4 linked regions of the Drosophila melanogaster genome follow. The protein of the gene in region 4 interacts with the protein of the main gene of each other region in a pairwise test. Each region holds a gene or a part of one and is shown on either strand. Other genes may lie near its edges. The genes, in order: zye, Rbp9, sna and Cep290.

Evidence for each region.
Region 1: the proteins of Cep290 (region 4) and zye interact in a two-hybrid assay, tested with the Drosophila melanogaster proteins (one large-scale study listed by BioGRID).
Region 2: the proteins of Cep290 (region 4) and Rbp9 interact in a two-hybrid assay, tested with the Drosophila melanogaster proteins (one large-scale study listed by BioGRID).
Region 3: the proteins of Cep290 (region 4) and sna interact in a two-hybrid assay, tested with the Drosophila melanogaster proteins (one large-scale study listed by BioGRID).

The regions. Positions count from the first base shown.
Region 1 is NT_037436.4:20,410,934-20,417,981, forward strand, and holds the start of zye (zye), read left to right. Parts: upstream 1-2,670; 5' UTR 2,671-2,733; intron 2,734-6,272; 5' UTR 6,273-6,298; coding exon 6,299-6,340; intron 6,341-6,416; coding exon 6,417-6,655; intron 6,656-6,715; coding exon 6,716-7,048.
Region 2 is NT_033779.5:2,952,115-2,959,282, reverse strand, and holds the start of Rbp9 (RNA-binding protein 9), read right to left. Parts: upstream 4,522-7,168; 5' UTR 3,970-4,521; intron 3,904-3,969; 5' UTR 3,776-3,903; intron 2,373-3,775; exon of another isoform or gene 2,019-2,372; intron 137-2,018; exon of another isoform or gene 1-136. Other genes in the region: lilli (lilliputian), read right to left, coding at 7,058-7,168.
Region 3 is NT_033779.5:15,474,828-15,481,235, reverse strand, and holds sna (snail), read left to right. Parts: upstream 1-2,975; 5' UTR 2,976-3,128; coding exon 3,129-4,301; 3' UTR 4,302-4,643; downstream 4,644-6,408. UniProt on the Drosophila melanogaster protein: Essential for the correct specification of ventral-dorsal patterns.
Region 4 is NT_037436.4:840,623-850,718, reverse strand, and holds the start of Cep290 (centrosomal protein 290kDa), read right to left. Parts: upstream 6,794-10,096; 5' UTR 6,354-6,793; coding exon 6,036-6,353; intron 5,979-6,035; coding exon 5,805-5,978; intron 5,752-5,804; coding exon 5,344-5,751; intron 5,279-5,343; coding exon 4,453-5,278; intron 4,394-4,452; coding exon 3,459-4,393; intron 3,401-3,458; coding exon 3,268-3,400; intron 3,206-3,267; coding exon 3,052-3,205; intron 2,995-3,051; coding exon 2,308-2,994; intron 2,244-2,307; coding exon 1,584-2,243; intron 1,531-1,583; coding exon 1,398-1,530; intron 1,340-1,397; coding exon 351-1,339; intron 286-350; coding exon 1-285. Other genes in the region: Gr61a (gustatory receptor 61a), read right to left, coding at 7,308-7,388, 7,447-7,699, 7,751-7,905, 7,963-8,085, 8,142-8,308, 8,361-8,555, 8,605-8,796, 8,857-9,001; JMJD5 (jumonji domain containing 5), read left to right, coding at 9,405-9,677, 9,729-10,096. UniProt on the Drosophila melanogaster protein: Essential for ciliogenesis in sensory neurons and spermatocytes.

The sequences.
Region 1 (7,048 bases), about 20 Mb from region 4:
TATCTGCATATATTTCCATATGATGGAGCATACTTTTAAAGGCCAATTAACTTCGTTTGAAAGCTTGCTTGTGTTTGTGAGCCAAAACCGGAAACTAAATAAGCGTAACCATTTTAAACAAATTGTTATTGCTCCTGCCAATCAAATGATCGACATTTATAAGTGGAATGTCGTTTAGTGATGATTAGAATAATGCGTTTACAAAACTATCGTATATTTTAAGCTAAAAGTCTTTAAAAATTAATGCCAACTGATTGTAGATAAATATTCCGAATATTAGCAAAATAGGGAAATTATGAGTACCGCGAATGCTATTGCCATACCTGCAATAAAATTTTAAAATAAACAGCCAATAAGTTGTATTATTATTATTTTATGTCTGAAATTAATTTTAATCGCCACAAAGTGTGTTTGCACTACCAAAACTTGGAGAACAAGTGAGGTTTACTTTTGCCTATTTCTTCGTAGCCAACAATGTCCGGTAATAACGAAATGTCTGATCACGAATTTGTTTTGTCACTGCCGCCGAGCGAATGCAAGAATATGTGATCTTTGCTGATCCACGGGAGAGATAGGTTGTCACACCCTTTATGGGGACCAAAAATTACGTTTTCCATTAAACATATGTTGGTGTTTTTAAGTATAGTCCGCAACACTTCATTATGTCTTGAAAGGCCCAATCAACGAAACTTTAATGCAATGTTTTTAAGTAAAGAAGTACTATGAAGTCGAATGGAAAATACTCTTAGGGTATTGATTCAACTTTCAGCAAAGTGTGTTTCTTATAAAGCTAAGTTGGGAAATTAGTTATTAATAGGGTTACATTCAAGAAATGCGGTACTATATTTCATATCTCTATGATAACGTTATGATTATGACTGGATGACTAAACCTTTGTAGATATAGATCCTTCTTTAAGAACAGACCCTTCTGGGATGGTTACCCTACTTATTATAGTATAATATCAAATATATTAGTAGCGGTTCTGGGAGCAGCAGATACCATCCACTGGCAGACTGGGTTACGTGATGTTTGTCAAAGGCAGAAGCGCCTTCGAAGGCACCTCTGGCATCGCGATGCAGATCGTGCCGGCATATGGATACGGATTCGGGTTCGGCCTAACCATATGACGGTGGCTAAGTGAATTACCCTACCATCCGTCTCCATCCGTATTCTTCCCATGGCGACAGCCCACCATCGCCATCTCGCCATGACCGTTGCCATTTGGCTGCGAAAATCTATCAGCATCACGAAGCGGACGCTGGGCTTCCAAAACTTTGAATACTAATACCTGTTAGGGATGACCAGGCGCATCGGCATCGCATCGGCTCCGAATTCGTCGTCAACCTGTCCGCAATGCCGGCTGTAGTTGCATGACAACATCTCCATCGCACACCTCCATATCCATATGGCCAAAGTCCCACTACCCCGTTTGGTATCCCCGCCCCCTTGGAGCCCACATCTTGTAGTACAGGTAGTTGCAATGACGGATTTTGACTCTTTGGCCCTAAAAGCACACCGGCGAAGGTGCAGTTTTTCAGCTCAGTTTTCAGTTTTCAGTTGTTAGTTTTTGGTTTTCATTTTTCAGCTGGCTACAAAATGTGCCAGTCGCGCGCTTGGGTCAAGATGGCTAAGACGGCGACTCAAATGGCTAAAATGGCTAGGGGAGACGGCGAGTGGACGGTGCTCACGCGTCTCGCTGCCCACGAACTCCATATGAATGGAAAAAATAGTTGGCTCCAGGCGCCGGGCTACTGGATGCCCTAACTCTGAGCAATCAATTCGGAAAGGGTTAAATTGATGATAGTGACATGATGCAACGATAACGCCCATGAAAAGATTGATCAATATGCCCTGAGATACAGATTCCAGATATTTCGGCGACCTTGAGCCCACAGATGAGCCGAATATCCAAATTAAAATCATTAACCTACGTTTCTAATAAGAACAGCTAGTTGCAACATATTTATATTGATATTTTTACCTATCTCACATTTTATAAATATAACATATATATCAATCTAGTCCTTAAACTTTCCAAAGGACCTCAAAGATATGCATAAAGTTGTGGAGCATGATCTAAAAATGATACAGACCATGGATATTTTTTAATAATAATTAATAAAGTGCTATAATTATAAATCCAGCTTCGCAATTACGTTTCAAATGACACACCCCCATAAACGAATATGTATTATACCCGTGATCGTATAACTCGTTTAATTCAAACAAATTGAAACAAACAAATTGAAGTATATAAGGTGTTTTGCAAGCTGACCTCTGACATTTGGAAGTTCACTTGAAAGCGGGTACTATTTAGATAAATTCTAATCTGTATCCGTTTTGTGTGCTACCCGTGTAGTGCGGCGAATAAATAATCACAACCTGCCAATAAATCGTAGTACCCGATTTAGTGGAGTGTGCGTGTATAAAACCACGAGCGACGTAAAATAAACAACAACAAATATATTAAGCTACTAGCATTGGTTGTATTATTTGTCGTTTTTGTATTTTGTTTTTTTATTTTCGGTTTCTGTTTTTGTTGCCGTTGTATTTTACTTGCCGCGTCTTTGGATTTTTGAGGCAATATCCGAAACGATTTCTGTTAAATCATACGCCGTGTGTGTATATAAACGAAGACGAGTCTCTTTGGCGCTTAGTGCGGCAACGTCCACTTCGCCAGCTGCATCCCAGCCAGATCTTTTCCCGAGCCCAAGTCCACCAGCCAGTGCAGTAAGTCCAAGTTTATCCAAGCGGTCCAGTGGTGATATCCGTATGATGGCCGACTAAATGGTCAAAGTGTTCCACTATGTTACCAAAAGACATTCAGTGATTTGATGTGATCAACTCCATAGGCCGTTAATTAAGGCCAGAAAATGTGAATCGATTCAATTAACTAAGTGAATGGTCCAAGTGGTTACTCAAGAACTCGTCTGAAATGAACATATGTACATACATAAGTATGGAAGGATTCACTAAACTTTTACTCGATGATCCGCTCTAGAGTTGGAATATTTTGAAAAGCAGTTTTAATGTGTGGATACATCTAATCTAAATCCAACTATTACCAAAAAAATACTATTAACTAGTGCAACATTTATTTTTAAATCCATAAAAAGTTAAGGAAATTTTAAACATTAAAAAAATTGCTCAGTTTTACGACCCACAAAGTTAAGGTATTATTCGCTTTTGCATATTTTATATATTGCATATTCGCATGCATTTAAAATCAGTAAAAAATAAAGATGCAGGATTTGGTAAGTTTTAATAAGAAATTGACCAACTTTGCGGTCGCCAAACTTGAATAATTGTTAGCTTTTTCCATTACGACCCACGCAGATTTGACCTTGTATTTACATTTAGCCGGCTATCTCACTTACATATATAGATATTTGGTTTTAAAAAAAAGTAGAAAGTAAATGACTGTGACGCAAGTAATTATATCCTCTCCAAATCCAGTAAGACTTACAATATGACAGAATCGTAAAGCTAAAATAAACAACGCTAATTCAGGTTAAACCCGAAATAATACACCTTATAAAATTTCACGGTCTCTAACTGCGTATATTTTTTATATATTTGTAAAAATGAGTTTCGGAGAAGATCAATTGATTTAAGCCTTGAAAAGCATTCTTTTCGTAAGTCCGTTTGCCCGTTTTTTGCATTTCTTTGTAATTAATTTAGACGAGAAACAAGTTTCGCAGATCCGGGGCCTGAATGCCATTTGCATTCGTTCGTTGTTAATTTGTCAAATCTGCTAACTGTGTGTGTTTCATTTAGTTAAGTACCTTGAATAAGAATTAAATTAAGAATGCATTAAATCTGAAATCAGCCAGCTCCTTGTGAGGCGATCGAAAATATGGCCAACACTTGGCAATCTATGCAAAGTGTCCATAAATACCCAATTAAGTGCGTCACAAAAATGTAAATTAGATTGTTCATAACATGTCTATTTGAGAAACGAGCGATCATCTTACCAAATCGGCGCCTATCCAAAATTGGCCATAAGCCGAGACAAGATAACTGCCCATAACTGATAGCCAACAATGCAAGTTAGCCGCATTTCACCAATTTGTCAGCGCAGAGCATTGAATCCAAGTTATGAGTACCCGAACCCAGACATGGAATGTCGGCTAAATCAATCGCTGGAGGAGATCACTCGCGTATTCGGATTGTATAGTTTACACATTTGGCATAATATACAAATGTGGCTATATGCATATACGTGGTGGTGAGGCCCGCGGTCTAATCACCTGTTCGCCGTGATTAATACGAAGATATACGCCTATGCGAGGCGCTGAAATGTCAAAAGTTCAGGGTGAAGCCATCAATGTCCAAGCTGTTTTTATTAACGCTCAATCGTTAGCCAACACAATTGAATATGATTGCTGGCAAACTGCGCAGACAACCGGGATCACCCATTCTATCTGACTTAACATTTCGACACCCAAATCAATAATCGCTTTTCAGAGTTATAATTGCCCAATTATACAGAATGATGATCGTGTACCTATATATATCTATCTCATATATCTCCTAATTCTATAGTTTGTCTTTTAATCCATACAAGCCATTAATGTGTTTGTTTAGCAATTAAATAAACGACCCGGACTATTAATCTTAGGGGCCAAATAACAATATCGTGATAACTGGCAAATATAAATCTGTGGCAAAATTAAATGAGCAATTTTTTGACATGGTGAACCAATTTTTATCAAATTGGCCATAATTATGCAGTCATATCAAACCCAACCGCAAAAAACCAAAAACCAAAAAAAAAAAAAACAGCAAACTGAGATATCAGGCCAATGTTTTCGAACCTCCAAAAACCCAAAAAATTGGGTCGCTGAAGATTAAGCGAACGGAAAGTTGGGAGCAAAAGAGATACCATATTAATCGTGTTGAATATGAATCGGATGTATGAATGGGCGGTGTTTCATCACAATCTACTGGACCTCTTGCCAAATGTGACGCGTTTGTATTTACAAGCTAAAAGTTGTTTCCATTTCGGGGAAACCAGTAAGATTATACAAATGAAAGGGAAATTACTAGAATATTCAAGAGAACAAGAAAACAGATAAAACTTAATAATATTTTTTAATCCATGGGACTTTTGATTAATGTAGGATTTATTCATGAGGAAGAAGAAATGCTTAGCATTGGGTTCTATTAACCAGTGACGTAAGAACAAAAACAGAAGACTTCACACGCCAAGTCATCCGTAATCAAATGGTACTTATTCGCCCCTCGTTAGCTTAATGCTTGGAATAACCTAGACAAAAGGGGCCTCAATCAAAAAAAAAAAAAAAAAAAAAAAAAAACACCTAATCATCCGGGGCCCAACATCAAATGCGAGATGGCAAAAAACAAGAGGAGATTGCAGAAGCCAATGCCAAACAAAAGGCCCCAAAAAGACCCAAATCGAAGCGCCTTTATCAACTGCGGCTAAGCAAATAGGCATTCGTCACTAGTTGTTTCGCCGCCCTGCTCCCTTCGTGCGCGAGTCTTGAATTTATGGATTTTGAAATCCGCAGCATCTTTCCCATTTGTTTCTTCTCTTTTAAAGGTTAGTTGTATTATTTAAAAACCAAACCCGTTTTAGTGGCGCGCTGGTGCAGCACCCTCCATTCGTCGGGCAAAAGAGGTCCGTCCGGCTGTTCGAACTTCGAAGCTCGTGTAAACACTCGACAGGTTGCACTCAACCGTAATTAGCGATAAAGAAGATCTTACCTCACCCAGCGCTAGAGATCGCTTGACAAGCCCGACCTATGCAAATATATGTCTGGATTTTCGGTGAATTAATTTTTCGTCACCTTCATGCTGTTTGATATATGACCCCTTTTGATCCCATCGAAAGCGCCCTTTCCGCAGATCTTCATCTAGTGAGTCACCCGAAGGTGGAAGGTTACTTACGTGATTAAACTACCGCCGCAGTATCCGAATCGGTCATAAACTTAATTTACACAAACTGTAAACAGAAATATTATCTTGTTTTTACTGTATTCGTTGCTGAGACAAAGAGGAAAATAATTTTTAATTTAATTTTTGAGTCAGCCTTTAAGATATAATAGTCCTTAGCTATGGGTCAACGATAACTAATAAATATGTTAATATTTTTAAATACTTCAGAGTAGAAATATTGAGTGAACTATGTGTTTTTTTTAGCCACCAGATAGGCAATAAATTAAGCTCTTCGATTCGGAAGATCATAAACCGCTTCCAGTACACACCATTATCATATATTAAACACACTCTAATTGACTGTTTTTCAGAATAAAGCTCAAGACTTACATTTAAGATGGTCAACGTCGGCCACATTTTCGTGTGGGCCTTGCTCTTGGTACGTAAATACACACCGATCGATATCCATCTAGAAACCATTAAATTGCTGATTATTATTTCGTATAACTGTCAAGGTCACCACTCGGGGCACTGATCTGAGTGATGATGAGGCGCTCAATGACGTTTTAGGCGAACTTGAGTTTGACGACTCCTCGCCCAGATTAACGCGCGACACTTCTCTGTCGGCCAAGCACATCGAGAAGATCGATGTGAAATGCGACCAAGGTAGTGGCATGATGGTCGAGGTTGAGTTCTCCGAGGACTTCGAGGGAGTCATCTACAGCCAGGGGTACTTCAGCGACCCAAAGTGCAAGTGGGTATATACCATTAGCTAGCTCTGAGTCCCCTCTTTAACTGTCATTTTTAATTTTAGCTACGTGAAGGGCGATAGATCGGGACGCAGTTTCACTTTCACAGTGCCATACGATGGATGCGGCAGCAAGCCCTCGTGCTCCGTTTGCGCCTCAATCGAGAACATCCTGATCATCCAGGACGACAGGGACATACAAAATAGCTTCGATATAGCACGGAAAATATCGTGTAGTCGAGGCGATGAACGTGAGAAGACTGTATATTTCAAACCATTTGTCGTGGACATGCTCGAGGTTATATCGGTAGATACACCGAGTGGGCCGGTAGAGTGCTGGATGGAGATCGGGACGGGAACTCCTCCCAATGTCAAACCCATCCAGGGCACTCTAACCCT
Region 2 (7,168 bases), on a different chromosome or scaffold from region 4:
GCCGTTTGAAAAATGAAAAACCAAGCCAAACCGAAACGTGAAACTAATTCGTAATAACAATAATAATAAGGAAATAAAACCGAACGGAAAGTAGAAAAGAACGCGTTCCTGCAACTCAACAGAACAGAAATAAACTGATTTGCCGAGCGGCGTGGAAATTATTTTTATGCCCCACCGACGAGGGCAATCGTACTGCTGCCTCATGTCCAAGAATCGGGAGAGCAGAGCCCCAAGAGCTACAAGAGAGCGCCGCTTCTTGGCCAGAAACAGAATTCGTCATTGTCGAGCGCTCTTCGCCCGCTCGGGGAAGAGAAAGCCACCCGATGGGAATGGATCAAACTTACACGGCTATATGTTTTCCTACAGCACGAGCACATATATCCGCAAGGTGGATTCCTCAGATGCTCGACGGCGGAGGTAATTTATAATTGGATTTTGCGCAAACATACACACTTACGTGCACAGTATTTCTATAATTGCGTTATGGGAACTTCTTTTAAATCGAAATTCGACAGAGTATCTGCTTGACTCCAAAGTTACGAATGCATTTCTGGTTCCAAAGACAGCTGCGCATAATCGGGGAAATCTGTTTTGCAAAGCAGTTGCTCAAATAAGCCGCCTTCCGGTCATGGTAAGTGCGTTTGTCCTATCTACTATTTAATAATTAACCGTAAACTAATGTGTACATTAATATGTTAATTAAAAAACTGTACCATATATTAGACCTCATAGACTGCATCAATATAGAATCAGTTTTTTTACACTCTTTAAGAATATCTGACACTCCTTTAAATTTCTTAAACTTTTTGGTAGCTCCTGAAGTCCTTTTCTGTTTTCAGTCAACCGAAGGAAGCTTCCTCTTTCCTCCTCTTTCGATTCACGCCCCCAAAATAAGGGGGCGCAACCATTAATTTTCATTCATAAATAGTTGGAAATTGTTTCCGGCTAATTGATGGATTTGATGGCACATACCTATGCAGACACACACACACACACGCACTCACACTTACGAATACTGGAAGAATGGGGAAGAAGTGTTCAAAGGGCAGGAACAAAACAAAAAAGTGACACACCTTGGCAAAGGCAAAGGCAGCGGATGAAAGGAGAGACAGAGAGAGAGAGCGAGCGAAGGAGTTCTGGACAAGTAACGGGTCAGCAAAGTAGAGGAACTTATAAGGACGGCGGCTGAGGCCGTATGCATTTGATTTGGGTGCGGCAAAAATAAACAGGATATATGGGCGGAGAGATAGAGCGGGAGAGACAGTGAGAGCGCAGGCTGCAGCGAAAGCGCAGCAGTCAGCTGAGCGCGCCACAAGATATGCAATGGCTATTGAGCGCCACAGAGAGAGAATGGGAGCCAGAGAGCGAGCTTAACTGCAAGCTGGCGTCGTCGTCGACGGCAACTGCGCTGCCTAAGCAGGGCCGTCTCGAAGGGGTCCCTCCGAGATCAGGGGCTCCAATAATCTCTCAGAAATCCTACTACGGAAATTAAAGAATTTCTTTTAAAATAAATAAATCCGATAATTGCACTAGAAAATTTCAAGTCTTGTAACAAGTTCTCGAACTTCTACCATTTGAAAATCTACATCTAATCAAGGGAACTTTGTGCCACATTTGTACGAACTAGCTTTAAGGAAACTTTTATATGGAAAACAGGTCAATAAATCATTATTTTTGGGGATCGACTCCCTCTGAAGAAACCGCTCCTGTGCGGCGTTTTTTAGGTTAAATGGCGGCTGCAGGCAGCGAAATGAAAACTGCGATGCCGGCGCTGCACGAAACGCAGCTGCATGGACTTCTGTGTGCTTGTGTGTGTGTGTAGGCGGCAAATATATATCAGAGTGTAGAGAAATTGAGATTTCGCCGACTGCAAGCCGCCCCATTGAGCTCCGTTTTACTATTCGCACACATACGAATGCAGGCGAAAAATCGACTTTGGGTGTGGGCACTTTTGCAAATAAAATGGTGTAACTGTAACTGTAACTACATATCCGTAGCATTCTTCTCTGTTCGCTTACATTTATTCGCCAGCGCCGCAAAGCATACAACACCGATTTTCCCAACTCGACTCGAAAGAAAATGGTTCTGGAACTGGGACTGGAAAATGTTCTTCGTTGCAAATGATGTAGTTTCAATTTGAAAACTGAATTGAGCACGCACACACTAAGGGTTTTCGAACTGATTTCGATACTGATTCGGATTCCACACTACGTGCAATTGGACACACGTACATGTATATGTGTATGTGGGCGTAGTTGCGTGAGTATGCAAGATGTGTGTATTTTGATACCGATATACAACAATTCAGAAACGACGACAATACGACGAGAATCAAAAAACACAACTTGCTGCCGGAGAGTGCAAGAACTAAATGATTAAAGTGTTCGATTGCCGCCAGGATAACTGCAGCCAGGACCCGTGACAGCGCTGCCGCGCCGCAGTCCGCGGCCCCAGCGGCAGAGCTCCTCCTCTCCTCCAATTGGCGTACAGTTGAGCACGGCCCTGCAGAGGGCGGGAGGGGGGCGGTGGCGAATGCACAGCATAACTGCGTAGTTTTGCTCTCGCATGCACAGTGGGACAAATTCAAACATTGAGCGCGAACTTTAACCCTTCTACTTTCTTGTGTTGCAAATATAGATAATAATATTAGACTGACCTGACATATGCTAAATATGTATTGTTATATCCAAAATGTTGTTCTATTTTATTTGAAATAATGGATTTCGGTCCCAACTAAACTCAAAAGACAACCTATGCAACAATTTGTAAATGTATAGAAATAAGTAAATGCACCTGACACGTTTCAGGATAAGCTTAAATGCCATTGCACATCAGTGAGATGCAGAAGTGCTGTTTTATTTTCAATATACAGCTTGGGCACAGTTGCACCATTGTACCATGCGAGAAGTAACGGTCGCGAAGAAGAAGGCAAATAATAAAAAGCTGCAGCCGCAAGTTGCGCAGCCTGCAACAGCTCCGGCAACATAACGGTACTCGTTCGCTCGCTCTCTCTTTCTCCTGGCTCGGCACTTAACCGATGTACCCTACATTTGGCTTCGCAAAACATAAACAAGGAAATGCAGCCGTGAACACGAAACGAATTGCGGTAGGTTCTCCGTTCGGCAAAGAGCGAGCTCCAAAAGAGGCGAAGAGAGCCGGGGCTCGTAAGCCGGCCGCATTGCTGTTGTTGGAGCTGAGAGAGCCAGCACGGCACCCAAACAAACACTTAAGCAACAACAACAACGGCTGCTGACTGAAGGGAAGGTGCCAGAGGGGCTTTAAACCCAAGAGCGCAAGCTAGAAAGAGCATCAGAGAGAGAGAGAGCAAGGCAGGAGCGTAGGACGAGCTCAACTTGACATCATCATCATTTGTGTCAAAAGACCATTGAACTTTGCGAGCGGATGGAACAGAACAGCTCCACCCCCATCCCGCTGCCTACAAGTATGCAACAATACCTCGCTCTCCTTATTTATATGCGGTTTGTTTTGTTGCTGCTTGCACACCATCACAATAACAGCAACCCACATGCATGCACTCACTTTGCATAGGTGTTGGGGCCCAATGCATCTCAAAATGTTGCGCTTTTAACCCTTACCTAACTGATCAGACATGTAAGGCCCTTTCATGAAAATGTCCTGTGTTTGGGAAATCGGGAAAATCCCCACGATGTAGTTATAAATGACATACTATAGATTTGTGTACAATAAGTGGCTGTGTTAAATCTTCTTTAGCGAATAGGTTTTTATGTAATTCATTCTTGTTGCCTTACCTTACTTGTGATGGATAATGGTCGTGTTCCATTGATGTTCAATAATATAACGCCCATTGCAGGATTCCTGAATAGGGTTCAGATATGGGTTCCTGGCACTACGGCCTTGAGCTGAAGATGAATGTTCTTGCCTCTGCGGATGTGCATATAAAATTCGGTTAATTTAATTATTTAAATGAATAATTGATTTTCAGCTTACTGGTGCTTCCCACTGCGACTGATTCTGACGTGAGCCGCCAGAGTTCCAGCTTTGGTTGTCATAAAAGCCCCTAGATTGGTTGGGATAAAGCCAAGATAGCGGTGGTTGTGGTAGATCCCCTTTATTGGGCTTCCTGTTGTTGTTCCACGCTAAGGAAGGCTGCTTGATCTTGTTGCCGTGCTTCTCCTCGATGTTCGGGGACACATTCTCGCATTTAACTTGAACCTTGTACCACGAGGCGTCTGTATGCTTACGTTTGATGGTCATATCCTCCTCGCTGGTGGAGTCATACACGTGGCCCTTGATGGGTCTCTTTCTCTGACAATTGTTGACTTTCTCTGGCTCTGGTCCTCCTGTTAATACCCCTGGAATTTGCGGATGTGCCTTACGTCGTTGGCGCTGATATTGCCTTCTCTTGTTGCGAGTGTACCTGGGGATCTCACCCACAAAATCGCTTTGATTTTGCATTCCTTATGATGAAGTTGTAAACGATGAATTCGAAGAATCGACACCACGCTGTCGAAAGCACAGCAAGTAACACGTTGAGTTGCTAACACTGACAGACTACTTTGGCGACTTACCAGCACTGATCGATTAATCATGCAAAAAGTTTTTCTCGTATTGATCGAAACTTCCTTTCGTCATGAGCATTATCAAGATAAGAAATCGTTTTAATTGCATTCGGCTTCAAGTGTTCCCCTAAGGAACAGGAGTTAAGAATTTCCAGCTTTTGTTTGAAACAGATGGACATGAATTTATAACCTTGCCTGGTCACACTGAATTTTTAAAGCATCTCCTTCCGTTATTACAACCATCCATAGTGTTAAAAAAAAGCAAGACACAAAAGGCAGTTATGTAAATGTTACAATTTTTGATGTTTTATTCGTTCGATTTATCAACTACTGTTACGGTAATTGCATATTAAATTGGTTGTTGTTCTGTTGTTGCTTAAACTTTAATAAGTGTACTTGGTTTTAGCTGCGGCTGAATTTAATTATATTTGTACAAAATATATATTTACTTTTAGCTTTGTCAATGAACAACATGTTTTGCATTCATTTTGGTTTTCTACTCGCTTTCCACGTTCCAAAGTCCAGCTTAAAACTTAATTCTGTTGGTTTTGCTGTTCGATCTGTCGGTTCGGTTTTGTTTTTGTTTTTGTTTGGTTTTCTTTTGTTTCGTTTCACTACAATAACGCTTAACAAAATAGAATTATTAACTATTACTAGGCGCGTTTCGTTTGTTTTTGTTGTTGTTGTGGTTGTTGTTGTTGTTCTTGTCGGTTGCTTATTGCTGCACGTTAATCTTGTCACTTCGAAAAAATTTAACTATGATTTCTACGTTGTTTAGTTTAATTCATCGTGTATATATATAAAAATATATATATATTATATATCTTTATATATACCAATATATAGTTATTTATAGTTAGGCATGTAATTATGCTTACTTTAATTATATGCATGTTTGTGTCCGTGTCTTCCCGCCTACGTAATTGTATTATTTACATCGTTTTAATAATTAACAATACATATGTATGCATGTGTACCAATTTATAATAATTACACTTATGTAGTTGCACTGCACAATAAAGTTGCGCAAATTCTCCATCGGCATTCGGCACTCGTCATTTTAGTGATAACTTAAAATTTGTCTACAATTTAAATGTTTGTTTTCGGTTTCATTTGTCGAATGCGAGCGAATGCCTTGTTTCCCCAGAACCATTACTAATATTAATTTAATATTCTTTCTTACTTTGTTTTGCTTTCCGTTTTGTTTTTCGTTACATTTTTGCTTTGATTTTCGTAGTTTCGATTTCGTACATGCCAAAATAAAAGTCAACAAGAAAATGCTGGCTGCTCAACTCGGTCAATATATGAATGTATTCCAGAATCCTACCATCCTACCATCGTACCATCCTATCCCAATCCCCACTCATTTTCAAATTCTGCTGATTGAAGTTGGCTTAAAGTAGTTTACAGCGCTCACTTTTTGGCATTTAAAAATATATTTCTTGTATACTGGCGGCTATATGTACAGCTTATATAACTATTTCGAGGGCAAGTCTATTTCGATTGATTTTTAACTCGTTTAAGTCTACTAATGCACTATTAGTTGTTGCGTCTGTGTGAGAGTTTTGAGGCACCCATTATGAATTTATGAATTATGTTGGGAATAGACTGTGGATGAGGTGGTTTTATGGATGGGTTGAAAGAAATAAAACCAAAAGAGAAATACAATTGCGTGTATATATTTGAAATATATATTAATATAAATATATATTGTTTTCATTCATGTATTTTGTTCTAAAAACGTGTTGTGATTGCTTTTTAAAAATTAATTTAAAATTAATAAAATAGTTGCGTTAAACATAATTCATATAGAAATATTATAAAGAATTTATAACTATAACTTTTCTTTATATATGCCATAATATGTATAATTATATTTGCTAACATTTTTCTTTACCAAGGCTGCAAAGTAAAATTAACTAAAACTTAAACAATTTAAAAAGCCGTTCATCTTCCTTACTGTACGCATACGAAAACAAAATTCAACTAAAATGTTTATGTTTTTGGGTAACAGGAAAAGGGGGTAGGGTGGGCGGGGGGGGGGGGGGGTGGGCTGGTTGGGTTTTCGTTTTTGAGCTTACAGACTAGACGTAGAGCTAATATAACTTTTAATGTGTGTTTTTGTTTTTCTTTGTGGTAATATCAATTAAAACTAGGCATAAATATAAAGCTTAACATGCTTAAACAATCGAAAATTGAGCATAAGGAAATAAGTAAATGGTGTGCATATACAATTACATACATATATAAATTATAAAGTATTAACAAATCAAATTTTTGTGTTGTTTTTGTTGTGGTTATAATCGTTCTGTTGGAAGGTTGTTGGTTTCGATTTCATTTCATTCGTTACTCCTCCTCCTCATCTTGACTAACTAAATTAGTAGCTTGTAGTAGATAATAGTTGCTAATTTGGCCTGACTTTCATTTAGACACGTTTGGTGGTGCTTCCGTCTCCGCCTTCGCCTCCGCCTCCGCCAACGCTTCCGTTGCGTTTGCGGTTGATATTGCCGCTGTCGCTACTGCGACTGATGCGTCGGATGCGACACGGCATCCCTGAGCGTCTTGAGACCCGCCTGCACGTACCGGAACACCTCGTGCATGGTGCTATGCAGCGTCAGCGGGCCGTT
Region 3 (6,408 bases), on a different chromosome or scaffold from region 4:
CCCGCCAGGGTCGGGGTCGGGGGTCATTCACTATTTGCAGCGAACAATGGGCCACAGGTAGCGATGGAACCCGCACCCGCACATAAACGCCGACAGATACGGCCAGGTGATCCAACTTTTTGATTTCTTCTGGCTAAAGGACATTGATACGCCGGCCCCGCCGAAGGATTCCGAGAAGCAATTCCTTTCGCTGGCTTTTCAAAACATTTACTCCACTGTATTTGGCCATTGTGCCGCGAACCTACCTATTGATTGTGCAATGCACCCGGTCCACATGCACACACATACAGCCCGTGGCAGTGATTTTCCCTGCTTCTCCGATCTTCGATTTATGGATCGCAGCTCCTTTGTTCCGTGCCAAAAAAAGGAGAGCCTGACCTGGGGGTAGTATAGTAATCAACAATTCATTGTCAACGACATCACACATCGTATATCTTGGGCCATAGTTTGTTTTCCTTGGTGGTATCCCTAATGTTCGTTCCTTTCTTTTTCTCTCTCCTCTTTATATCTTCGTTTTTGCAAAAGGTTCACCAGGCCAGGTGACCTGGATATACTGTTAGGCTGTGATGGCCTGTGAAGGAGTGGGGGTTTTGGTTAGAGAAACACAGTCTAGGAAGCTGAAAAAACAGTTACAGTTATCCTTGGGCGAAAATGTGATATGATTTTTCTGAGTGTTTTATGCGAATATTTAATAAGAAGAACAAAACGAAAAACATTTTTTACAAGCTCCGTAACATTAATTATGAATAAAATTACAAAGTTCAATGTGTTGTTCTTAAAATACATTTCGATCATCGTTCATAATGTCTCCTTTTTGCACTGGTTGTCGACCTAGTTCTGTTTTGTGACTCGGATTTACTATTTCGCATGGCTCCTCTTCGAACAATGTCAGTCGAGCTCTGTAGATCCCTGTGTTCCCTCTTCATTGTCAACTTGAACAAATGAGCCAGGGAACAAGGTGCAAAAATGGGACGGTCCTATTCTCAGCAAAAATTGACAAGAACAACAACAATGTCTATGGAAAATCGAACTTCATCCCAGCACCTGCAGAAATCCCGAGCGAGTCGGGGAAAAAGTATTTAACCCCCGAAAGGGTTTTCCCCAAAATAATGAAGTAATGAATGAAGCGGAAAACACTGGCCGCCAATCTACCTAATACTAATGAGCGGGCCAACCCGACCAGGAATTTTTGCAAGTCAGGTACTTCAACGGATATATGGGTTCGACAAGTGCGGATTTTCCCGCGACATCAATGAGGACTTGGCCGGGTTATCCGCGGTGCTCATCGGGCAATTCCGCGGCCGAGGACTTCATCGTAGTGATCATTAGGTAGATATGTGCATGGATGTGACATGGCGATCATTGCGCGGAATAACACACGTAATAACCGAGATATCCGGGATGACCCACCAGGTAGGATGTGAGGACATATAGAAAACCCCCAGCCAGTTTTTCCACTCGTCGTGGCTTGTTTTGCTTGAGTTTCGCTGACTGCGTAATTGGATAAGATGGGAAATTACTTTAAATCCTTCGCTGATCCACATCCGGACATTCGTCGAAGGAAAATCCATTGCAGGGAAATACGAAATGGAAATGCGGCTGGGTTATTGGCTCGACATTTCCCATCTTCCCTCACGCCATTGGTTGCAGGATCGCGGGGAATTGGAATTCCGCGCTGGAATTTTTTGTCACCTCTTGGGTTTATCAAAACTTTTGGGTTTGCTATGGATTTTTTCCAATTTTACCACCGCGCCTGGTTTTTTTTTTTTGACGACGCGGAAAATCGGACTTGGCTATGCGGGCTTGTCTGTTTTTCCGGGTACAAAGTCTGCATGTCAGCCTCCATGCGGGAGTGGGAGTTGGGAAAGTTTCCCATCGATAGTTGGAGGGGTGGCTTGAAAGTCTGGAGGTGCTAGCTGGGAAAGTTGTGTGTGCGCGATGAGGCAAGGAGTCAAAGATCAGGGGAGTTGGAAAGCGAGAATTGTGGGAATCGTCCAGGACTCAGCTGGATGCTGAGGGGCAGTATGATTTTTTTTACGTTATCAATCGAATTGATTTTAAGACAGCAGAACTTCACATACTAATAAGATGACCATGGGATTAGTTAAAATGTGTAACTCGTATTCGAATCGTCATTCTTTCACGGACCAATCGTGGGAACAGGAGATCTCTTCGATCCAAGCTCACAGGAGACTTGACACTCTTCGTCTATTCCTTGTCAAGTTTTTAATGACATCTCCTATGCCCTGAGCTATGTTTTCCTAGCTCTCATCGATCGCTGCCAATGAGCCACTGGAGATGATCCATAAGTCAGCGTAGAGTGCACCCCAGAGTTGACACTTGGTGTCTCGGAATTCGGCTCATTATCAGTGCTATTTTTGGAACACCTCTCTGCGAAGGTGTCATTTTTGTCAGTGCGTATCGCTCAGGTTCAACTCCCCACCAAAAACCGAATTTAGAGCATCGGCAGATGTACTTGAAGCACTCAATCTAAGTGAGGAAACCACCCCATGAACGAAGAGTACTAGGAGTCCTATTTGACTCGTGCTTAAAAATAGAAAATTACTTAGGGTGATCCATAGGTAGGGAGGCGATATTGTAACTTGCATTTCGGACCCGGACCTGCACGAGTTATTACGGGTGGGTTGTGAGCGTATCGGGAAATTGGAGAGCCACCAGATCTGTCATAACTTATACGGGGGATCCTTATTCCTGGGAGGGTGCGCCTGCGTCTGCTCTTCCGAGAGAGAGGTGGGAAATGGAGGAAGAGAGAGAGAGAGAGAGTGAGAGAGCAGGTAGAGGGAAGTGAGGGAAATACGCAATAAGGGTATGGGAAAAGTGCTGTTGTTGTTGCTAGGTAGCGACGCACACGTGCGAGTGTTTTTCTGTTTTGAAGAAGAACCACCACCAAATGGCGACAGCGGCGTCGGCAGAGGCGCAGAGTTCCGGGTATAAAAGAGCGTGCTCGACTGTTGACCTGTCACAGCCACCTCAGCTCTCGTTGAGAACGCAACCACCGCTCTATACTCGATCCCGAACTATATAACTCGCCTCTCGATCGCCGATCTCCCGATTTACCCATCTCGATCAGTACCGGAAACTAAAACTTAATCACACACACATCAAAAATGGCCGCCAACTACAAAAGCTGCCCGCTAAAGAAGCGCCCCATTGTCTTCGTGGAGGAGCGTCTGCCACAAACGGAGGCCTTGGCCCTGACCAAGGACTCACAGTTTGCCCAGGATCAGCCGCAGGATCTATCCCTGAAACGGGGTCGCGACGAGGAGACCCAGGATTATCAGCAGCCGGAACCGAAACGTGACTATGTGCTGAACCTTTCAAAAACACCGGAAAGGAACTCCAGCTCTAGCTCCAACTCCTGCCTGCTGTCGCCGCCAGTGGAGGCCCAGGATTACCTGCCCACCGAAATCCATATGCGTGGACTAACGGCAGGAACAACGGGATATACCACCGCCACCCCCACCACGATTAATCCCTTCCAGTCCGCCTTTGTGATGGCCGCCGGTTGCAATCCGATCTCTGCCCTGTGGAGCAGCTATCAGCCCCATCTGGCCGCCTTCCCCTCGCCAGCCAGCTCGATGGCCTCGCCCCAGTCGGTCTACAGCTACCAGCAGATGACGCCGCCCTCCAGCCCCGGATCCGATCTGGAAACCGGTTCCGAGCCAGAGGATCTTTCAGTGCGAAATGACATCCCACTGCCGGCTCTGTTCCACCTTTTCGATGAGGCCAAGTCCAGCAGCAGCGGTGCCAGTGTAAGCAGCTCATCGGGATACTCCTACACTCCGGCCATGAGTGCCTCGTCGGCGAGTGTTGCCGCCAATCATGCCAAAAACTACCGCTTCAAGTGCGACGAGTGCCAGAAGATGTACTCCACCTCGATGGGCCTGTCCAAGCACCGTCAGTTCCACTGCCCGGCAGCCGAGTGTAATCAGGAGAAGAAGACCCACTCCTGCGAGGAGTGTGGAAAGCTGTACACCACCATTGGAGCCCTGAAGATGCACATCCGCACCCACACTCTGCCCTGCAAGTGCCCCATTTGCGGCAAGGCCTTCTCTCGACCCTGGCTGCTCCAGGGACACATCCGCACCCACACTGGAGAGAAGCCTTTCCAGTGCCCCGACTGCCCACGATCCTTTGCCGACCGCTCGAACCTGCGAGCTCATCAGCAGACCCACGTGGACGTCAAGAAGTACGCCTGCCAGGTGTGCCACAAATCTTTCTCCAGGATGTCGCTCCTGAACAAGCACTCCAGCTCCAACTGCACCATCACTATTGCGTAGGATTCTCGACATATGAATCCCTTAGCAGGACACAATTACCTAAGCAAACTCACATTCCGCTGGCGAAGACCAAACAAACAGACAATACCTATTATAAGTTTGTACTAAGTCGATTCGGTTTTGGTGCTACTATTACTATATTTATTTCAGCTATAGTATTCTAAGTTTAAGTTCATGTATATTGCCTCATTGTCACACGCAGCATTTTACCAAATCTATTCATTTAATTATAATATACCCTTATTTATGTATTCTCAGTACTGTTAAGCCAACTGTTGTTAAGATTATTCCTAGCTTAAAGAGAAGAATTAAATATTTTTATAAAATAAAACTCACGAAAAGAAATTTATATGGTCTTTATTATTTTTAACAATTTTGAAAGAAATTCTCACAGAAGGAAACTGTATAGAAATATTCAATTTAAATTCTATCACTAATATTTGGGCTCAAATACAGACAGATGTGAATAAAAAAATTTAAAAATTTGTAACCAAAAGTTATAGAAAACATTTTAGGTAGTAACAGCATTCATCGAAACGCATTAAAAAAATGTAATCTTTCCTTCTACAGTTTCTATGTGCCTTCAAAATGTACAATAATTAACAGGAAACCAAACATCCGCATTTTGGGGTCTGCCCCTGTTCATATTTTGTGACAATTTCCGCCAACCCTCTCGAAAAACAGAAATCACAACAATAGCAATATCGAATTCTCGGAGAAAACACCTTTGGCATGTGCAAACAGGGAACCGATTTGTCATACACTTTCCTTTTCGGGGACTTCCTTCTAACCCGCCCCCATTAATAGCATTCCATCAATTTCAATCCATATCGCTCGGCGTTTTGCACCTTTTGCCAATGCAAATATTTAATTAGCTGACACCGACATCGCTTCACGTTTACATTTCTGCAATCCTTTTCCAGCATTTTGCCGAACTGATGGCGGCGCATGCGTCCTGAGTCCCTAAAGGATACCAAAGGACACCAGAGGACCGTGGAGTGCAGGTGATAAACGTAGCGACGGCTGCTTATCGAGTCCTTCCTGATTGACTGGCAGACGGTAGTTCAGGTCCTGATTGGATTGGATTACCACCGAAGCATGCTCTAAACCGAGAACCCGTCGAGGTTTATCTGACTATTTGATTAGACCCGCGCGGTGATAATACTTTAGTTTGAACAGGTATGAGGAATAAATCCAAGATATGGGTGGATATTTTAGCTTAGGCACGTATGGTTATCAAGGCAAGGTGAGTGGGTATTTGGATTCAATTTGTTAATAGCCATGTTCTAATAGATATTAGTTCAGAAATGTTCACTGATACAATTCAGTAGTTGTAAGATTTGCCAATAAACATTTAACGATTCTTTTATTATTTAAGGAAGTCCCGTAAATGTGTGACTCTAAAAACATAAATAATCGAATGCGGGTGTGTCGGAATGGGACAAGCATTAGCGACATTATGTTGCAGTTGCAACACCTTTTGGTCATAAATAAGGCTCACAAAAATCCATTCCCAGAAGGAACCAATGCAGACAATGACCAATCATTCCAGTTCTACGGTAATCAGAGCGCGTTTCTTGTGCAATTGCAAAAAACTGCAGCACAGATGCAACTGGTCACAATGCATCAGCTGTAAGGAAAACACCTTGCCGGGTGGACAATGGCTAGAACGCAGTACCTGTCGCCCGATTGTCTGCCCAAGATTCCTTCACCCAATGACCTACTGGGAGAGCTGGGCGACCGACTTCTGTGAAGTCTTCCGCCCTTTGTTTCTGCGGCATCCTTTTTTGCCATTGTCCTGCGGCTAATCACCGCTTAAAGGGAAGCCAAAAGAAATCACAGACCACAAAAGTCAGTCGATCTTTACGCTTCGCTGAATGCAAATCCCGCGCAGGGAATCGATCCCAGAGCCATCTGAGATCGGGGACTTACTCCCCATTAGTCCGGCAACGCGATAACAAATTGCAATTGACAAAGCAAACGAGATGCGATCGATGGAAGCCACATATCCGAGCCTCCAATGTGGATGCGATTCCGATTTCGAGTACGCGGCCCATTCCATGCCATACAAATCGATGGCCGGCTGAGATACAAGCTGCGGCATTTG
Region 4 (10,096 bases):
TGCAACTCCTGCTGCAGAGCACTGATTTTCTCCAGCGCCTCTGCATGCTGCTGCTGCAGACGTGCCGCCTCTGCAGGCGTGGAGTCCATGGAGCTGCGCGACTCCGTGGATCGTCGACCATCCTTCAGGAACTTGTTCTCCGATCGCAACTTCTCCACGAGATTGCGCAGCGAGAGGATCGTCTGCTCCGCCGATTGGCCCTGATTTGTGCTCACCTTGAGGCCACTGCCCAACTCTCGACGGGATTCGTTGCGAGCCATCTCCTCCTTCAGGGCCATGATGTAGCTGAAAAATGGGGGTGGTGCATAAGTCTCGATTCACACGCGTGGAAACTGCCGCTCTCTACTCACTCCTCCAAGTGCTTGATTCGCTTCTGCAGCCGATCGCTGCTGTCGCCCTGCCTCAAGAGATCCGAGTCGAGCTGCAGCTGAAGGTTCCTGGCCTCCAGTCGGATGTTCTGCGCCTCGATGGCCTGGCAGCGCTCTTGCAATTTTTCCAGCTCCGTGGTCAGGGCATTGCTGCCCCTGCCCTCCAGTTCCATGGCGATGATCTTGCGCTGCTGCAGCTCAATGCGCGACTTGAGCGCCTCAATAAGGTCCAACTGACTCTGGTCAAAGATCTGGGTGTGATGATGCGCCGGAGAGCTGCACTCGCTGCTGGGACCCGTGTAGGTCTCCGGACTCTCCGAAGGCGATGGAGCGAACTTGCTGACACCCACGTGCTGGAGATTCGGACAGGATGGAGTGCGGCAGCACTTGAGGTTATTGCCACCGGAGCTGTTGCTCGGCGGACCGTTCCTGCCCAGCTTGGACTCCAGGATTTGCTTGTCCTTTTCCAAGCGCGCTATTGTGGTGCGCGCTGCCTGGAGAAGGGCACGGGTCTTCTCCAGCGCCAGCTCGGTCTCCTCCAGCCGGGCCTTGGTCTTCTCCGCCTGCTGTTGGTACCGCTTCTGCTTCTCCCAGAGCTGCACCTCATTGGCACTCCTCGTGCGCTTGGCCTCCAGGAGCGTCTGCTGTCGCTGCAGCTGGCCACGTGCCTCGTCCAAGTCCAATTCCAGCTGCTGGATTCTCTTCAGCTGGTTCTCGTTCTTAACCCGGGCATTCAGTTCCGTTTTAATGGAGACCACAGGGCGTTTGAGTAGCTGCTGGCGCAGCGACTGGCTGAGATCCCTGGCCTGCTTTTCGCGCTGGGTGACGTTGGCCAGCTGGCGGCGAAGTGCCTCCATTTGGGTGTGATAGATCTTGTTGGTGGCCTCGGTGCGGTTGAGATCGGCAGCCAGCTTGGCTATCTGGTCCTCCGAGAAGTTCGAGGTGTCTTTGATGTAGCGCTGCTGGTCGTCCTGCATGTTTAAAACTTTTAATAGTAGAGATGAATATGATGGTATTGCTGGGCATTACGTGGAAGTTCTTGAGTGTATCCATCAGATCCTTGATGTGCTTGTCCTTCTCATCCAGAAAGATGCGTAGCTGATCCAGTTCGGGATTCACGGTGCTTTCGACCGACTTCTCCCGCTCCTGGCACAGCTTCAACCTGTCGAATGTAACGGATTAAGATCATGCACAACTACTTACTTTACAACTTACTTCTCCTTTAGTATATCCACTTCCTCTTCCCTCGTCTTGAGGCTCCTTTCGCTGTACTCCAGCTTGTCCTTGAGATCCTTGATTTGCTTGTGCAGCGTCGGCACTTCCTTCAGCTCCTCGGTGTCCTGCTTCTCCTCCTCACCTTCGGGCTCTTCGGTAACTATGTTCTCTGGACCTGCTTCCACTGGCACTTCCAACTCTTCTTGGGGTGGTCTCTCCACTGAGCTGCTTTCGAAGAGCTCCTCGATCTTCTCATCCGTCAGCTCGTTGACCGAGCTATCGGAACTGGAACTGGACCTCGAATCCGTCGACGGGTTGCGCTCCACGGGGACCTCGGGTTTCTGTCTCAGCTTCTCCTTAAGGCCCTGAATCTCTGCATCCTTCGTCTTGATGTTGAAGTTCAGGTTGTTAACCGTGGCCCTCAGGGATTCGTTTTCAGCCACCTGTTTGCTAAGTGCTTGCTGACTCTGATCCCTCTCGGTTTGCAGAAGGTCCTGGTACTTTTGTATGGACTGGTCCTTCTCCAGGAGCAGGGTGTGGAACGAGAGTATGGTCTTCTCCACCACACCACCTTGCGGACTGGCGGACTCGCGACTCTCCGATCTGGAAGCCTCCAACTGCTTGCCAAGGATCTCGATGCGCTGGTTGGCTTCCTGCAGACTGTTGGGCATCACCATTTATAGTTGCAAATAGTTATTTACATTTTTTACTTGGGGGAACTTACGTTTCTTGCATTTTTTGTAGCTCCGCGCGGGAATCTCTCCTATTGTCCTCCACTGCATCCGCTGTCTGAACGGCTTGATTCTGCTGGCTGAGAATGCCATTGGTTTGGACTGCCGTCTCCGAGAACTCAACTTGCGCCTCCAGCGTTTGAGTGGCTGTATCCAGGTGCGGATGTTTTCGGAGAGGCGACCCAATGGGCGATGACTCCCTGTCTATCAACTGGACGGCCCTTCTCATGGCCAGATTAGGAGCCACTGCATCGGTATTCGTCTCTGCATCCACCTTGAGTTGACTTCTTGGCTCTCCTTCACCGAACAAGGCCTGGATGGTGCTCCAGTGCTCGGTGTCGGTGGCCTGGCTCATCCTCAACTCACCCAATTCCCGAACGAGCTCCTCCTGTTTGGCCTGCAGAATCTCGCAGCGCTGTTCCAAGAGTCTCGTCTGTGTTTCAGACTTTATGAGCTTCACCAACTGCTGGGAACTCTCCTCGTTGAGACCAATTTTGGCCTGGACCACGGCGGTCACTTCATCAATCAGAGCGGTGTGATCTCTATGTCGCTGCTGCACTTGCTCCTCCTCCAGGCGACGCTGGAACTTTTGGTAGGCGAACACAAAGTTGGTAAGGAAGACCAGTGGCGTGAATTTGGCATATTTATCTTTGAGCATAAACAATGAATGCTGGAGGAATCTGTGGGATTTGGTAGAAAGTCAGATCTGCTAGGGATTATCCACCACTTGGTCTCACTTGTGCTTAATATCGCTATTGGTGCGCTCCTGCTGGAAGTCCTGTTGCGTCTGTTTCAGGGATAACTCGCTGGCCTCCAGTTGGGTTTGCAGGCAGTCCGCCTTTAGCTGCAGTTTTTCTCGCTCTGTTTCCAAGCGGGAGCACTCGGCTTTCACTAAAAAAAAAAAGAGAGACATGCTGGCTACTGATCTTCTCCTCGAATAAGTCTGTGCTTACCACTATCCAGATCCCTCTGGACCTTGGCCAGCATTAGCTTCTCGTCGGAGCTGCTCTGAAGATCGGCCACCAGGTGACGCAGATTGATGTGGTTATCGGTGATCTCATTGAGCAGCCTTTGCTGGGAGTGAATCTGGAAAGAGGATGGGCATTAGATCTCCCATGGGTAGGTATCAAGGAGAATCTCCAACCTGCTCATTGGCCACATGGAGCAGTCCTTCCAGCTGCTTGGTCTCCCTCTGCAGCTCCGCCTGCTTGCTCCTCCAAGTGAGCAGCTCCTGTTGCTGCTCCTCGAAGTCCTGGGCTGTGATGTAATCCAGCTGATAGTTCTCCCTGATTATACCGTACTCAGCGCATATTTCCGTGGGCTTCAGCTCGCCCAGCAGTTGCTCCATCGCCTGGCCAAGTTGCATGCTCAAGATGGCATTCCTGTGCTCCAACTTTTGCTGCTCCTCCGCAGTGTAGAGATTCCTTCGATTCACTTGCTCCAACTCCTCTCTAGCTTCACATAGTTCACTCTTGCTATGCTCCAACTGCCTGGCTAGAGACGCCTTATCATCTATGAAGCGAAGTTCCTGCTTTCTGGTCTCCGTCAGCAGTTGATCGTAATCCCTGCGCATGTAGGAGTAGGAATTCCTTTGCTGCTCCAACTGCAACTCCAAAGCGATCATTTGATCGTGGAGCTCTTGGTTGCGATTCATCAGATCACTGCCATCGGCGGACATATGAAGACGAAGTTCGTCGTAGTGCTTGCGCAGAATGGAGAGCTCAGCCAGGGCCTCGTTCGTGGGTTTCTCCTCGGGATCTGGTACAGTGGGTCTGCGTAATCCCATCGTGGCTTCAGTGGGCGAGCTTGGCCTGGTGGCTGTGTTCAGCACAGCATCCTCCTCGACAGGATGCTCTTCTGCAATCTCGGGAACCTCGCACAGACTATGCACAGAGGACAGTTCTCCCGTCTCGGAGTCACTGTAGTTCTGCTGCTCGAGCAGCTGACGCAGTGCCTCCTCTCGGGCCTTCAGCTCTAGGAGCTGACCCTGGAGTCGCTGCGGAGTGGTCGTTCCGCCGGGCAGAGCTTCGATGAGGCGGCGCAAGAGATCGGAATCGATGGTTATGTGCTCTGAGGTGGCTACATGGATAATGTTTAATACATATAGTTATTCAAGAAATATGTTATGGTTATCTCACCATCATATTCCCGCAGCTTCTCCAGAATCTCGTACATGCCGGAGCGTAGTGTTTCATTTTCGGCCAGGACTTCGTCGTATCGATTCTGCATCTCGGAACTGGCTGCCCCGTCGCCTTGGCCACGTCTCGGCGAATTCTCCAGATGCACACTATGAGGCACTTCACCCACTTCGCTGGGCGCCTGCAGCGATTCGTTCAAGGTCTGCGGACTGTCCTGCTGCAACTCCAAGAGCTTCCGCCTAAGTTCACTCTTTTCCAACTTCAATTGCAGACGCAGCTCCTCGGATGTCCTCAGCTTGAGGGTCAGTCGCTCGATCTGCTTGTCCTTGTTGCGCTGCTTGGAATGGACGTTCTTGGCCATGATGACCACATCGTCGGGGATGTGAAGTTTTCGCCGCAGCAGCTCGTTCTCCTGGACCACCTCGTGCAGGGAGTTCAGCTCCTGGATGTAGGCCCTCAGCTGCTTGTCGCGTGCTGCCACCTTCTGTTCCAATCCCGAGCAGCGTCGCAGAGCGGGAATGAGGCCATCTTCGTCACGCTTGTAGGCCTCCAGGGCACTAATGGCGTGCAGGGCCTGCTGGGACTTGAGCACGTTGTCCTGCTCGGCGGCCTCCAGCATCTCCGAGAGCTGCTGACACCGGGCGGTGGCTTCCCGCAGGCGCTCCTCGATCATCTGGCAGCAGGCTCGCGGCTGCTCGGGATCGTGGGCTCGCTCCTTCTCCTGACACAACTGGTTCATCGCACGCGTGGAGCTAACCATCTCCTCCGCCATTGACTTGATCTTCTCCTCCAGCTTCTCGATGCGTTGTTCCCGGGATTCCAAAAGCTACGAGGGATGAACATTTAGCGAGCTCAAGATCTAGATAAAATATATCGGCAGTTCATCCTTACCTGTCGTAGTTTGGCGTGCTCCTCCTCCTGCTGACTCTGACTGTTGGAAGAATTGGTTTGGCCAGAGCTGATGCTTTTGCCCTCCAGTTGTTTCTTGAGACGCTCCACCTCCTTGTCCCGATCGTCGAGCGCCTGCCTCCAGCCCAGCGACTTGGCCTCGTATTTGTCCAGGAACTGACGCATTTCCACCTCCTGCTTCTCGCGCTCCACCTCCAGGAAAGTTAGATTTCCTTCCAGGCGAGTGATTTCCAGCGCCTGCTGCTGCTCCTTTTGTTTCAAGGACTTGCGCTCCTGCTCCACCTTGGTGATGTCCTGGCTCAATTGCACGAGATTCGCCTTGATGGTCTGCAGCTCCCGCTCGTGGAGCACTATGGTCTTCGATTGAGCTATGTTTTGGTTTTGCAGTGTCTGAAAGGGAATGAATATAGTATATTCTGAATGCAAAACATAATATGACTCACCTCGATTTCCTTTAGCAGCCGCTTGATGTGCTTGTTCTTGGAGTCGATGTTCTGCAGCAGCTGCTCCTGCTTGTCCAGCTCGGACAGGGGATCCGATGAATCCTTGTCGCTGATTTCCGCCTGCTGCGCCGCCTCCTGCAGGCGCAGCTCCAACTGACGGATTTCCTCCCCCAACTAGTGAGAAAAAAGCGTATCCTTGAGCTTGGGTACTTTACATGATCTACTGCTCACCTCCTTGGCTTTGCTCTTCAGGCCATCGCGTTCGTCCTCCAACTTCTGGAGCATTCGCTTCAGCTTCTCATTCTCATCCTGCAGGCGGCGGTCGGAGGAGAGTCCTCCGGCTGCTGATTCCTGCAGCTGCTGTACCTGCTCGCCCTTGTACTCCAAAACGGCCAGGGTGAGTTCCAGGGTTTTCCTCAGCGACTTCTTAGGCAGCTCATCGATGGACTCGGCCAGTTCGAGGAGCGTTTCGTAGAGCTCCTGCTTCTGGCGCGCCGAAAAGTCGCGGAACTTGCGCAGGGATACGGTCTCTGGTATGTCCATGCTCATCCTGGTGGCTCATGGCCTCGCTCCTCGGCGGTTACTCACGTTCTGCGTCCAAATATTCCCCGATTTTCCACACCAGCTCTCCAGTTTTTCCGGTTGCCATGACACTTGGCCCAAAACAAACTACGACTGAAAACCCATTCGGGGGTTGCTTTTCCGGAAACGAGGGTGCCGGCGCGCTCCTTTCAAGTGACCAACCTGCAGGACCTTTGTTTTTGCTGGCGTTCTGTTTTGCTAGCTGCTTCGGCTGCGTAGAAAGTTTCCTGACAGGATAATTGCCTCAACGGCGGCTATAGCGGCAAGGATCGGCGGTGGGAGCAGCCGGTGGCCCACCACAAACAAAAATGGCAATCGGTAACCAGGAAAGTGTTAATTGGCAAAGTGTCAAAGGCCGAGTTTTGAAATTGAAAAGCCATTTCTGTTCGAAGCGACTTTTCCGCCGCCTTCTCGTGTTTCTGTTAACTTTTCTTACACTCGAAAAAAAAATGGTATTTAGTTCAGAGCACACCAAGTGGCTTTTGAAAGGGTTTAGAAGTAAGCAGTAAAGATAAGATTATTATTATTTAGAACTTTAGCTTCCGAACATATTTTTCAGTGCACTCCAACTCCTTTCTCCTTTCAAAACTCATCGAGTTGCCTTCAAAATTACGTTTGCCTACATGTGTAGCAATAATTGAAACTAATGGCAAGCGACTTTGGTTGCCCTCCCATTTGTGGATTCGCCCTCGCTGAATGACAGCTGGCCAAAAATTGAAATTGAAATGACACTCGGAATGGCCAATTATCCTGGAAGCCTTTTGGCCATTTAATAACCGCCCGAGTCGGGTTGGCTGAACTCACACATGAGCTGCTAACTGACTTTTCCTCGCAGGAATCTACCCTTTTTCAAATCTGATTATCTGACTATTTTATTATACATTCAGTTAAGTTAAACTGGACTAAAGTTCACTCATTTAGTTACGCGCACCGCAGTCCCTTGTGGCTCTTAGCATCTATTTGCAGCAGCATAAGTTCGTAGGTCACCAGGGTGGCTAGCATCTGGAGAGGATGGCTGGGATCAGTATGGGAATCGTGAAGACTCGTGAAGTTTACCCACTCCGAAGAGACTCTTTCTTGTCAAGCAGAAGAGACGATATCCAGACAATCCGACAAACTCGCTGGTCAGCTGGTCGGCAAATCTCTGCACCTCCTGCGTCCAGCCATCGCTGGGCACCAAGTACAAGGACCTCAGGGGCAGAAGCGAGGCATCGTGGATCTTGGAGGCAGTCATGAAAACCAGACTCGTCCTGGCCAGCAGGAAGATCAGCGAGTACCAGAAGTAAACGTAGTTTATGGGATGCCGCAGTTTGCTAAAAAGATTTGAAATGAGACTAGGGGGTAGCTACAAACAGATGACTCACGTGAAAATAGCCAACGCCTGGTTGCAGATCACATACACATTGTTAGCGCAGGATACGAACACTATATTCGACATGCTGGCCTCCACCAAACTGGCCAGCTCGCAAAGGCGAATGTGATCCCTCCGAATGTCGTACCACAAGGCTTCGGGAACATGCTAAATGGGATGGGGATTTAAAAGAGAAATACATTGAAATAGTTTGGATTATTTTACACGACCCTCCAGTGCGCCAACTCGAGCGGCAAACTGTTGAAACCTTTGCGCCAGTCCAATACTGGTCATCACAATAAAGATGTCCATGAAGTTCCACAGAAAGGTGAAGGCTCCATTTAGCCACTAAAAAAGAGAGCATTATTCAAACTAACTAACTAAAATATATATAGTTAACTTACAAATCCATAGCACATGGAAAATATATTGAATGGCATGATGAACATGATGTCGGAGAACTCCTTCTCCAAATAAAGTCCAAAGGTAATACGCGAGTGGTTTGTGTGGCACTGCAGGATGTGCATGCTATAGCTGCAGTAGCCAGAGGCGTAGTACAGCATGTGGTCGCCTGAAAGAAAGTTCTTCTGGAAACCATTGAAAGGATAACCCAGAAATCTCACCTACTGCCAGGACGACCACACTCAGAGCAAGGACGTTGACCTTTGACCGAAGGCTTCGCTTGCCACGTTTGTAGGGCGGAAAGAGCATCAGAATGTCCACCGAACTCCAGGGCAGCATTATGTGCGACCAGGAGCGAGCAAAGCCCACGAAGTTTAGCCAGTTGACCATGCCCACGATAAGGAAAACCAAACCCACTATTGAGCTTTCAGTTGGGATCACACTACCATACCATCTAAAACTCACCGATATTCTTGGCATTCAGACCCTCTGTGAAGAGAATATTGGCACCGACCAAGGTCTTCATGCCACCGAGCAAAAGGAAGAGACCGGTGACTGCCAGGCCAATGCTCCTTACCTTGAACTTCACATCCTGGGGATCGCGACTCCGGATATTCGACAAAGGCATAATGCCGAAGAACTGCGCCACACACAGATCTATTGTCCATTGTAATATGTTTAGACACATATGAAAGTGGTTTGGAAAAGTGGTCTTACATGGCCTGATGGCTCCGTAGAAGGTGTCCAGCTGCTCGAACTCCAATCCTCCCTGGGCACAGCGCCATCTCATGGCCAAAATGGCCCTCTGCTTCTGGCGCCGCACTTTCAGGTGCTTCCGGATGTCATCCGAAGTCCTCGACATGCTCCTCAGCTCTGACCGTCAGCAATTCCACTATCCGGGTTCTTGTCTCATGATTGTTGTTTACAAGCTGCAGCTTAGTCTAAAACCCGTAATTAGTGGCACTTGGGGCACACAATGCCATTCGGCGTCCAAAACGGCGGTCATAACTCCGCCCATGGAAATCGTTTTTCCATTTCGTGCCAGTGCAAAATGTATCTTCACCATGGAAGGACCCACGGAGCTACTATTTATAATTTACTAAAGGCATCCTTAAGCAATACATGTTTGAAGTACTGAACAACTCATCAATTTTTAAATATATTTTAAAACATCGATTAATCGAAATATTTAATGCTTACAAATGAACTCTGGCAACGCTGAATGTAAGCTAAAAGGTAAACAAATAATAGTTGTTTAACATTCTATGGATAGTGAGTTCCTGGAGCTGACGCAGCTGCTGCCCCGCTGGGTGGATCTGGAAAATGTGGTCCGTGGTGAAGTCGAGGCGCGCTACATACTCAAAAGAGCCGCGGATCACCTGGCGAACTTGAGGTCTGGCGGAGATTCCGGGGCGGAGGAAACCGGATATCTGGTAGGTGCGCTGGTGGACAGGAACTGGGAACGCATTCACACAGGGCACTTCAGCCAGGTTCCCTTGGTCACGAGGAAGATATACGCCATAGCCTGTTGCTTCAAGGTGGGATTTAGATGCTAACTAAGCCATACAAACTACAAATATACATTTTAGATTTTTTTCCTTCTCTTGGAGAGCACTAGTCCCGCCCAGAAGGATGCGTGCAGTGAGATCCTCGATGAGGCTCAACTTTTGGGTTGCATGGAGGATTGGAGTGAACTGAAAGTCGCCCTAATGGATTATCTCGACAAGGATGGAGCAGTAGCACTGAATTCCGCACCACTTCCAACTCTAGAGCCATTAACCCGAGTAACCTCCAACTGTGATATACCCCAACTGGACGCTCCCAGTCTAGAAGAGTTCCAGACAAAGTGCTTTGAGGCAGGACAACCCACACTCCTGCTCAACACCATCCAGCATTGGCCTGCACTGCACAAATGGCTGGATCTCAATTACCTTCTCCAAGTGGCCGGGAATCGCAC